Coturnix japonica: one gene and its partner. The protein of the gene in region 2 interacts with the protein of the main gene of each other region in a biochemical or structural test. Links are inferred from orthologs where the notes say so. Each region holds a gene or a part of one and is shown on either strand. Other genes may lie near its edges.

The links.
Region 1: the proteins of EYA2 (region 2) and SIX1 form a complex in vitro, tested with the Homo sapiens proteins (2 studies listed by IntAct, with this or other methods). The link is inferred for Coturnix japonica from reciprocal best matches to the Homo sapiens genes EYA2 and SIX1.

What each region holds. Positions count from the first base shown.
Region 1 is NC_029520.1:49,457,451-49,461,759, reverse strand, and holds SIX1 (homeobox protein SIX1), read right to left. Parts: upstream 2,818-4,309; 5' UTR 2,642-2,817; coding exon 2,082-2,641; intron 1,386-2,081; coding exon 1,097-1,385; 3' UTR 255-1,096; downstream 1-254. UniProt on the Homo sapiens protein: Transcription factor that is involved in the regulation of cell proliferation, apoptosis and embryonic development. Plays an important role in the development of several organs, including kidney, muscle and inner ear.
Region 2 is NC_029535.1:4,986,381-4,990,651, reverse strand, and holds the start of EYA2 (eyes absent homolog 2), read right to left. Parts: upstream 2,812-4,271; 5' UTR 2,748-2,811; coding exon 2,677-2,747; intron 2,110-2,676; exon of another isoform or gene 918-2,109; intron 1-917. UniProt on the Homo sapiens protein: Functions both as protein phosphatase and as transcriptional coactivator for SIX1, and probably also for SIX2, SIX4 and SIX5.

The DNA of each region.
Region 1 (4,309 bases), on a different chromosome or scaffold from region 2:
GAAAACAAACGCGGTGGAGCCTTAAGCGCTCGGTGATGCGAAACGCGGACGCGGGGGGGTGTGGAAAGCGGCACCATCCGCGCTGTGCAGCCGGGGGCGGCCGACGGGGCGGTCCCGATGTGCAGCCCCCGCAACCCGACCTCGGCTCCATCCCTCGGTGGTGACACAGCGAAGGGGCAGCGTCGGAAAGAGAGCGGCTCCCACGCCGTGGGAGGATGGGGGGGCTGAGCCCCAGAAAGAAGAGCGCAGCGTCGGGATTCTGCCATCAGCAGTGTTTAATTTCGGCTGTTTGGGTACAATAGAAAAGAAACCTGAAAGCACACGCGAGGTCGGTAACACAGACTCGAGACAGACAGCTGCGGGCTCACTGCGAGGCAGAGCTGGGGGGAGCAGGGGGGGGGAGGCAGACAGAGAGAAACGCTCCTGCAGAAGGGAAGGGCCGTCCGCACTTATTATCGCTGTTGTTACTGTCCTAATGTGGAGCCGAATCGCTGCGTGTCCCGACCGGGGAGCAGCACCGCCGCGTTAAGACATAGGCACTTGGTAAAACCCTCATACTGCCGCTTCCTAATTGTATCTATTTTGTCTTTTTTTTTTAATTTTTAAACTACATCGAAATCCTTCCGGTGAAGCTAAATACCAAAAAAAAAAAAAAAAAAAAAAAAAAGGTAAAAGAAAAAGAAATGTAAACGAAAAGTTCCCCTCCCTCCTCCCGCTGCCACAAAGGGCCCTGCGCTTCCTCTGCCTCTGGGCCGCAACAGTTGGGATTTATGGGGCGCAATGGGATCCGGGGTTTAGGGTTGGATTTTCCACCACCCCCCCCCGCCATCTCCCCTTTTATTTCTTAGTTCTGTTGTTGCAGTTCTCACTCACTCGAACTCAAGGCTGAGGGCTTTGTGCCGCTCTCTGCATTTGGCTACGTGGAAAAATAATAATAATAATAATAACAATAATAAAAATAACGACAGTAGGGAAGGGAGCGAGGGGAGGGGGGGGACCGGACCTGGAGCTGAGACCGTGGAGAAGAGCCGAAGTGACGTTGAGGATCACCGTCCGCTATGTACAACCGAGAGTCCGTGTCCGCGAGCGGAGCCCTTTAGGAGCCCAGGTCCACCAGGCTGGAGGTGAGCGGCCCCAGCAGCGAGTCCTGGAGCTGATGGCCAGGGAGGCTGTGCGTGCCCGGGGGGGCGGGCAGGGAACCCAGCGGGTACGCGGAGCTCCTGCCGTGAGCGAGGTTCCCCTGCAACAGGAGGACCGAGTTCTGATCCGGGCTCTGCGGGGGTGAAAATTCTTCCTCGGAGCTGGACATGAGGGGTTTGCTCCCGTCCAGTGGGGAGAGTTGGTTGGGTTTGTTGGTGGCCGCGTTGTTGTTCTCCGTGTTCTCCCTGCGAAGGCAGAAGCACAGCGGGCGGTCAGGGCGGGGGCCTCCGGGATGGGGGAAGGAAGGAAGGGGAGAGGGGGAAAAGAAGGGAAGAAAGCGCCCGGTCTGTTCCTAACGGATCGTCCCGCAGCTGCCGGGCTCGGCCCCTATTTAGACAGCTGCTGCGCATCGCCAGCCCCGGAGCTGCCGGGGGCCGAGGTGAGGAAAGACGCGGGGATTCCGCCGTTTCTTTTTGTCATTCTTTCTCATCGCAAATCGCAGCGCGGCCCCGCGGGGCCGGGAACGGCGTTCGGTGGGGCCGGGGTTGATTCTCGCCCCGCGGGGCCGCGGGAGGACGCGGAAGCGGGAGGCGATGAGAACCGGGCCGCAAGAAACAGCCGCCCCGAGCCCGCATCGCGCACAACAGCCGGAGCTGCCCCCGGGGCCGGTAGCTGGGCCGCGACTCTCGAGGCCCGGAAGGCACCGAACAAAGGCGGGGGCGGCTCGGGAGAGCAGCAGGAGAGGAGGGGGCGGAGGGGGGTCGGTGCCCCCCAGGCAGGTGGGAGCGGGTCGGGACCGGCGGCCCGGAGCTTCGGTGCCGAGAGTCCGGCGGAGAGAGCGAGGCGAGAACGGGGCGTCGGGGGGAGCGGAGCGGAGCGGAGCCGCTGTCCGAGCGGGGCCGGGAGGAAAAGGGAGCAAAGCGGGAGGGGAAGGCACGTACCTCTCCTTGGCCTCCGCCGCCCGGTCCCGCTGCCGCCGGTTCTTGAACCAGTTGCTGACCTGCGTGGTGGTGAGCCCGGTGGCCTCGGCCAGCTCCCGCTTCTCGCGGGGCGAGGGGTAGGGATTGTGCGCGTACCACTCGCGGAGAACGCTGCGGCTCTTCTCCTTGAAGCAGTAGCTGGTCTCCTCGCCGTCCCAGATGGTTCGGGGCAGGGGGAACTTTCGGCGCACCCGGTATTTGCCCACGGCTCCCAGCGGCCGCCCGCGCAGCTTCTCGGCTTCCACGTAGTGCGCCTTGAGCCAGAGCTGCTGCAGCTTGGGGTGGTTGTGCGGCGAGAACTGGTGGCTCTCCAGGATCTTGTAGAGCTCTCGGAAGTTGCCCCGGTGAAAAGCCACCACCGCTTTGGCCTTGAGGACGCTCTCGTTCTTGTGCAGGTGGTCGCAGGCCGGCAGCGACCAGAGGAAGCGGCCCAGGCGCTCCAGGTTCCCCCCCTGCTGCAGCACCTCGCACACGCAGGCGACCTGCTCCTGCGTGAAGCCGAACGACGGCAGCATCGACATGGCCGGGGCCGGGAGCCGAGGGGCGGCTCGGGGCTGCGTGCGGCACCGAGAGGCGGCGGAGGGGCGGGGAGAGCCCCGGGCCCGGTCCCGTCCCCAGAGCGGGGAGGCGCGGAGGCGGCGGCGGAGCGGGGGGGATGGATGCTCGGCCGAGCGACGGGGGGAACTTTGCCCCCGCTCCGCCGCCGCCGCCGCGCTTAAAGCGCCCGAGCCCCCGCGCCGCGCTGATTGGGCGCCCGCGGCTCGGCCCCCGTCGCGGAGGGCCCCGACCCGGCCCGGCCCAGCCCAGCCCAGCCCGGCCCGGCGGGCAGAGCCTCGGCACGGGCGGGCGGAGCCTGGAGGAGCGGCCCCGGCCCCGGCCACGGCGCGGCTGCGCGGGTGCGGCTGTGGCTGCGGGGGGAGCTCCGGGCACGGCGCGCCCCGCACCCCGCGGGCAAATGCGCGGCCCTCCTGCTTCCAGTCCGCTTCGTTTGTTCGCTTTGCATTTTTTCTTTATTTATTTTTTCTTTTTTTTTCTTTACTTTTTTCCTTGTTTTTTTCTTTATTATTTTTTTCTTTATTTTTAATTCTTATTCTTTCATTTATTTCCTTTCATACGTTTTCATTTCTTTTATTTCTCCTCCGTTCTCTGACACTCCCTTCCCCGTCCCGTCTTCCATCACCCTCACTCCAGGCGTGAATGAATAAATACCGCCCGTCCTCACGGCGGATGCCGCGCTCTGAATAGCAGAATAGCAGAGCGGAGGCTCATATCCCCCCCCCCCGGCACCTCTCCGCCTCCCCCTCAGCCCGGGGGGGTCCGGGCCGGGACCGCTCAGGTCGGGAGGGAGCGGCCCTGGGAGCTGCCCCCGGGGAAGAGGAAAGAGAAAAAAACAGCGGCGGCGCTTTCATTCTCCCAAATCCTCATCTGCACACCTCGCTCCAAAGCAATTATTGCAAAAATTAGAAAGCAATTAGGTTCCCCAAGCAGAGATAAGCTGCCGTCGGGAGCTGGGGCGGGCTGGGAGATGGGGACAATGCGCTGAGATAAGGGCGGGGATGAGGGTATCTTTATGGCAGCGTTTATACGCGCTGAGATAAGCGGAGCGCTGCGCTTTGAGCACCCTCCAACCGGCGTTTGGGTTCACTCCGTGGGTTCTGAGAACAATCGAAGGGCTCTTGAAAACCTGTTTGTCTCCTCTAAGAACGGGGTGATTTATTCCGTGCTCCTCAAGGACGGGCCGGGCCGGGGCTCCGAGCTGTGGCCGGCGATGCTCCCGCAGCCCGATCCCGGTACCCGATACCCGGCCCCGAACCCTCCGGGTGGACCCGGCCGAGTCCCTCTCGTCGCACCCCGGCTGCAGGCCCCGCCGCCGTCCCCCCATGCACCGGTGGTTGTTTTTCCCACGTATTTCTCTTCTCGGGGCTGTTAAATAAAGCGCTGCCGCCCGTCTGTCCGCTCTGCACCGCTCGGGCACCGCCGTGTCCCATGACCGCGTGTCTGCTAATTTTCTCTTCCATTTTATTTTAGTGCTTGTGATGTTGCAGATGAAGTCTTAAAGAGCTGCAATGTCCTCCCAGAAGGAATGTCTGCTTGGAACAGATCCTTATTGACAAGGCAGCTGCGTGGGGACCGGAACGGAGCCTTAAACCCGGCTCTAACACCAACTAATACCCTAAAGTCTGGAGCAA
Region 2 (4,271 bases):
TTGGGCTGCCGTAAACAATCGTTTTTTGATGAGAACTCTTAAAAACAGCCCCAGTCAAGATGGTCTTTCTGGCTTTTCATTAGAAAAATGAGGGAAAGTTTTGATCAGTTCCACCTTTTCCTCTTTGGTGTAACTATTTTCTGTCCTGTGTAGTACAATGTGAAGCGTAATGAAAAGAACTTGATTCTTAGTACAGCAGTTTCACTGTCGCTGTTCATAATACACATGCATACAGTAACTATCCATCAGAAAGGGCCGTACAAGTTTTCCCAGTTTATCTACAAATTGAGCCCTCAACTTCTGGGATATATTAAAATTCATCATGTTAAAACTGCAGAGTTCCATGGTTTATGAAAGCATTTGAATTTGCAACCGAAGGGTTCATCCCTAATAAAAGTTACTACAAGGCAAAGTGAACTCAGAAACATTTTCCTGGCATTCTAAGACCTTTTTTTTTTTTTTTAAGGAACAGAATTTTAAAAGCATTTTTCACTGCACAAGTAATCTTAACAATCATTTCCACAGATTAAGTCTAACAACCTGTGAATTTATTACAGAAGAAATTTACTGCAAGGAATAATTAGTCTTCAGCACTGTTCTTGCTTGCTTTCCAGCTGAAGACACCTTAAAGCCATCTGGTTACTGCAAAATTTGGCACAGAAGAAACAAATCTTACTGACGAGAATTATAGCTGAATTCAGAATAGCTGCTTTACTGCTACACATCATAAATAACAGGCGGGAAGACAGCAGAAAATTACTGACTTCTTTAATTGTTTTCTTTCTCAGCAGCCTGCACCTACACACACCGACACACAAATGCAGCTACGGTGACTTCAGCAGAGCACCTCACTGGTTTGAGCTTTAACATACCACTAACTTTTGCAGGATTCACAGTGAAACTATTTTCTTTTGCAGAAAAAATCCATCACATTGGCCAGCTATGGAAGGACAACAGCAGAGGAACAGACGAGATTCTCAAAATGCTATTCTGAGACCATGGTCTTCATGAATACGTGAGTCAAATCCCTTTGTACAGTCAAGGTGCGTCTGTATGCAGAACACCGAATGCGGGACTTAATGATGAAGGGGGAATTACCAACAATATATTTATTTCTCCCTAATGAAGCTTTTCTAATGAAATTTAATACTGCCAAGGTTGCGAGATATTTGAAACAGGAGCCCATTTCAAACCTTTCAGCCAAATGCTGGTGATAGCATTAGCGAGGCGTGGGAATCGAGTCTGTACGTAGTGCTGTAAGAGAAAATGAGCTGAGGGGAGCGGGCTGAACAAAGCAAAGCAAAATAGAAAGAACGATGGCTTCAGACCAAAGGAGTAAAGGAGTACACACTTGTTATTAGGCCAAATGTTTTGACCTGCTGGTTGGGAACATAGAAGAGAAAGAGGCATGAGAACTGGCTGGATGATGTGACTCAAAAACTTAATTTCGCATCACACAGTAAATTTATTATTATCTTTTTCTTAAGATGCAAATCAGAATAATTAATTCAAGTTATTTGCTGTAGCATCATTGCAAGTGAATTTTCAACATATATTTCAAAAGGTTTTGGAATGTTTCCAAAGCTGCAAACACTAAGTATTTTCAGGGTATTTGTACGGTAAGCCTTTCCTATTTACGTATGTAATATTTAAGCCCATAATATTTGAGCCTTAAGTTTCAAGGCAGAATTAATAATCCAGGTTTGTATTAGAGAAGAAACAGTTTATTCAAAGCAAAAGGGGCGAGGAGAAAAATTATCTCGTACTTAGCAACATGTAACACAAACCACAGTGCAACGTGGGATGCGTGGAAGGAGCTACAAAACATCAGCTTACACATAGGAGCTGTAGTTTGAATAGAGCCCAGCTTTTAGGCACCAGATCCCCCAGCACACACAGCGGGCAGAAAGCAATTCGTCGTGCTTCCCCAAAGGTTCCGGGGAAAACCTCCTGGAGAGAGCAGCACAGAAGGAGGATCTCAGCAAATCACAAAGTGCACGAGAAGGACTAAACAATGCGATACTCCTATTGCCCTGAACGAAGTCAAGGGATGTGTGAATCTGATACCGTGCTGAAGAAAATTCCCGTTAATAAATGTGATTAAATGTTTATTGGTTAACCGTGCGCATTTAATAGCTAAACTTTCACCCTGCAGAACACAGCACCATTCGAAAGGTCCGAGCACAGGAGCTGTGTTCCATCGCTAATTTCCGTTAGCGGCTGTTCGCTGCGCTCGGGCATAACGTAACGCTCCAAAAAGTGTATTTCAAGCGCATCAATCACTCGAGAAATTTTCCTCACAGGAGCAATTGCAAAAAAAAAAAGAGCATAACTAACTTTATTTAAACGCACATTTCAGTTTGCAATAGAATAACTAACCGAAGCTGGCTTAAGGTAAAGCCGGACGGTCCGCAGCGCATCAAATACCCGCACCGATTAACCCCGCCGCAGCCCGTACGACCCGACGTGCTGTCGCGTTTCGCCCCGCAGCGCGTCCGCGGGAAGCGGCGGGGCCGGGACAGGCGCTGCCGTCCGCTCCGGGTCCCGTCCCGCTCCGCTCCGCGCCGTCCGTGGACGCGGGATGGACGCGGGCAGCCGCTCACGGAACCCGCCGCCTCCAGCCCATCCGCGGGTGCGGGGCGGGCAGCGGACCGTCGTTCCCCCGCCCGTACTCACCGGAGCCGCAGCGCTGCGGAGTGTGCGCGCCCGCCGCGGGCGCAGTGAGCATGTGCGAGGCAGGCGCGCATGCCCGCGGATAGGAGCGGAGCGGAGCGGAGCGGGGCGGCGGCTCCGCACCCCGCGCCGCGCCCTCCCCTCCCCGCCGCGCTTCCCCGCGGTGCGTGACCTCGCGAGGGTCCGTCCGCAGCGAGCCCGACCTGTTGCTTCCCCGCAGCGAGCCCGCCCCAGGGCAGCCCGCACCGCGCCGCCGGCCCCGCACAGCCGCGCACAGTCCCGCAGGCGGCCGTCCCGCCCCGCACCTACCGCACGCGTGGGGCCGCGCCGCCTCGCAGCCTGTGCCCTCGGAGCTGTCCGGCCGCTCGCTGCTGCCCGGCCCGGCGGAGGAGGAGCTTGCAGCGGCTCCCGCACGACGCGGGGCCCGGCCGGAGCGCGGGGCAGCCTCTTGTGCGGTCACCAACGTGTCCCCCTGAGCGATCCCGCTGCTCTGCCTGCTGTGCTCAGCGCTCCCCCGCGCTTTCTAACTTGCCGGGCCGTGCTTTCGCTTGCTAGCAGGTACTCCCTCAGCGTGCTTTCTGCTTTCAGCTTTATCCGGCCTGATGCTCTCAACTAAGGTTTAGCTGTATGTTTTTAAGAGGGATTCTTGGTTTAAAACGTGGGCATATGAACACAACATCGACTCCTGTGTCAATTTTTAAACCTCAATTTTAAAAGAATATTTGGAGGAAGTTTTTTTACACGCTCTCCCACACTACCACAAGACCTGCAGAGCTGCAGGAGCAGTCCCGCTCATACAAAGCATCCCTCTGCTCCCACCAACACGAGCATCGCACAGCTCCTGGTGGCCAGGGCTGAACTCCCCCCACCCCACGCCATCCTGCTTCTGCCTCCAACATCCCCGCAGGAATCAGGCTGCATCCGTGACCATATGGAGGCGGAAAAGCCAAAGAGCACAAAGGGTGTCTTTGTGCTTCGCCTCGTCCCAGCACACAGGTAGCACACATCCACCCCTGCCCACCAGCATACCTGCTTGCTGGGGAAGCAGCCTGGCCACGGTGGCATCGGGGTGTTTTGCTTCTGCACCCTGCTCTTCCTCTTTTCTCTCCTCTTTCCAGCTGTTCAGGGCAGGCTGCAGCTCTCCTGTTCTGGCTCAATAGTGGACGAGAGCCTCCAACCCTTGCCTTGACAGCTTTTATTACACCTAGCCCTTTCCTCAGGAAGGGGAGATCCCAGGAACCGCTGTGGAAAAGCCAAAGGAACACAAAGGGTGTTGAGTTCAGGGTTTGAACAAGCTGCAGCCCACTCATGGATTTAACTCAAAATTTTGACAATGGAACAAAAACATCATTGCAACGAGACAGCTGTTTTTACTATCAAAATCTCTCAGATCAGTTTGACTGCAAAGTGTGTTCCTACAGTCATAAGGAGACAAAGCTCCCAGCATCAGCGTGGAGCTGGCAAGCTTCCTAGCATGAGCTACCTCCTGCCGGCCTAGGAAAACCAAAGCTCTTTCAGTTGTTATTCCCCATCAGTTCTCAGCACTAACCCCGTGATTTCCCCATGGGTTATCTGCAGCACTGAGCTTACACCGCTCT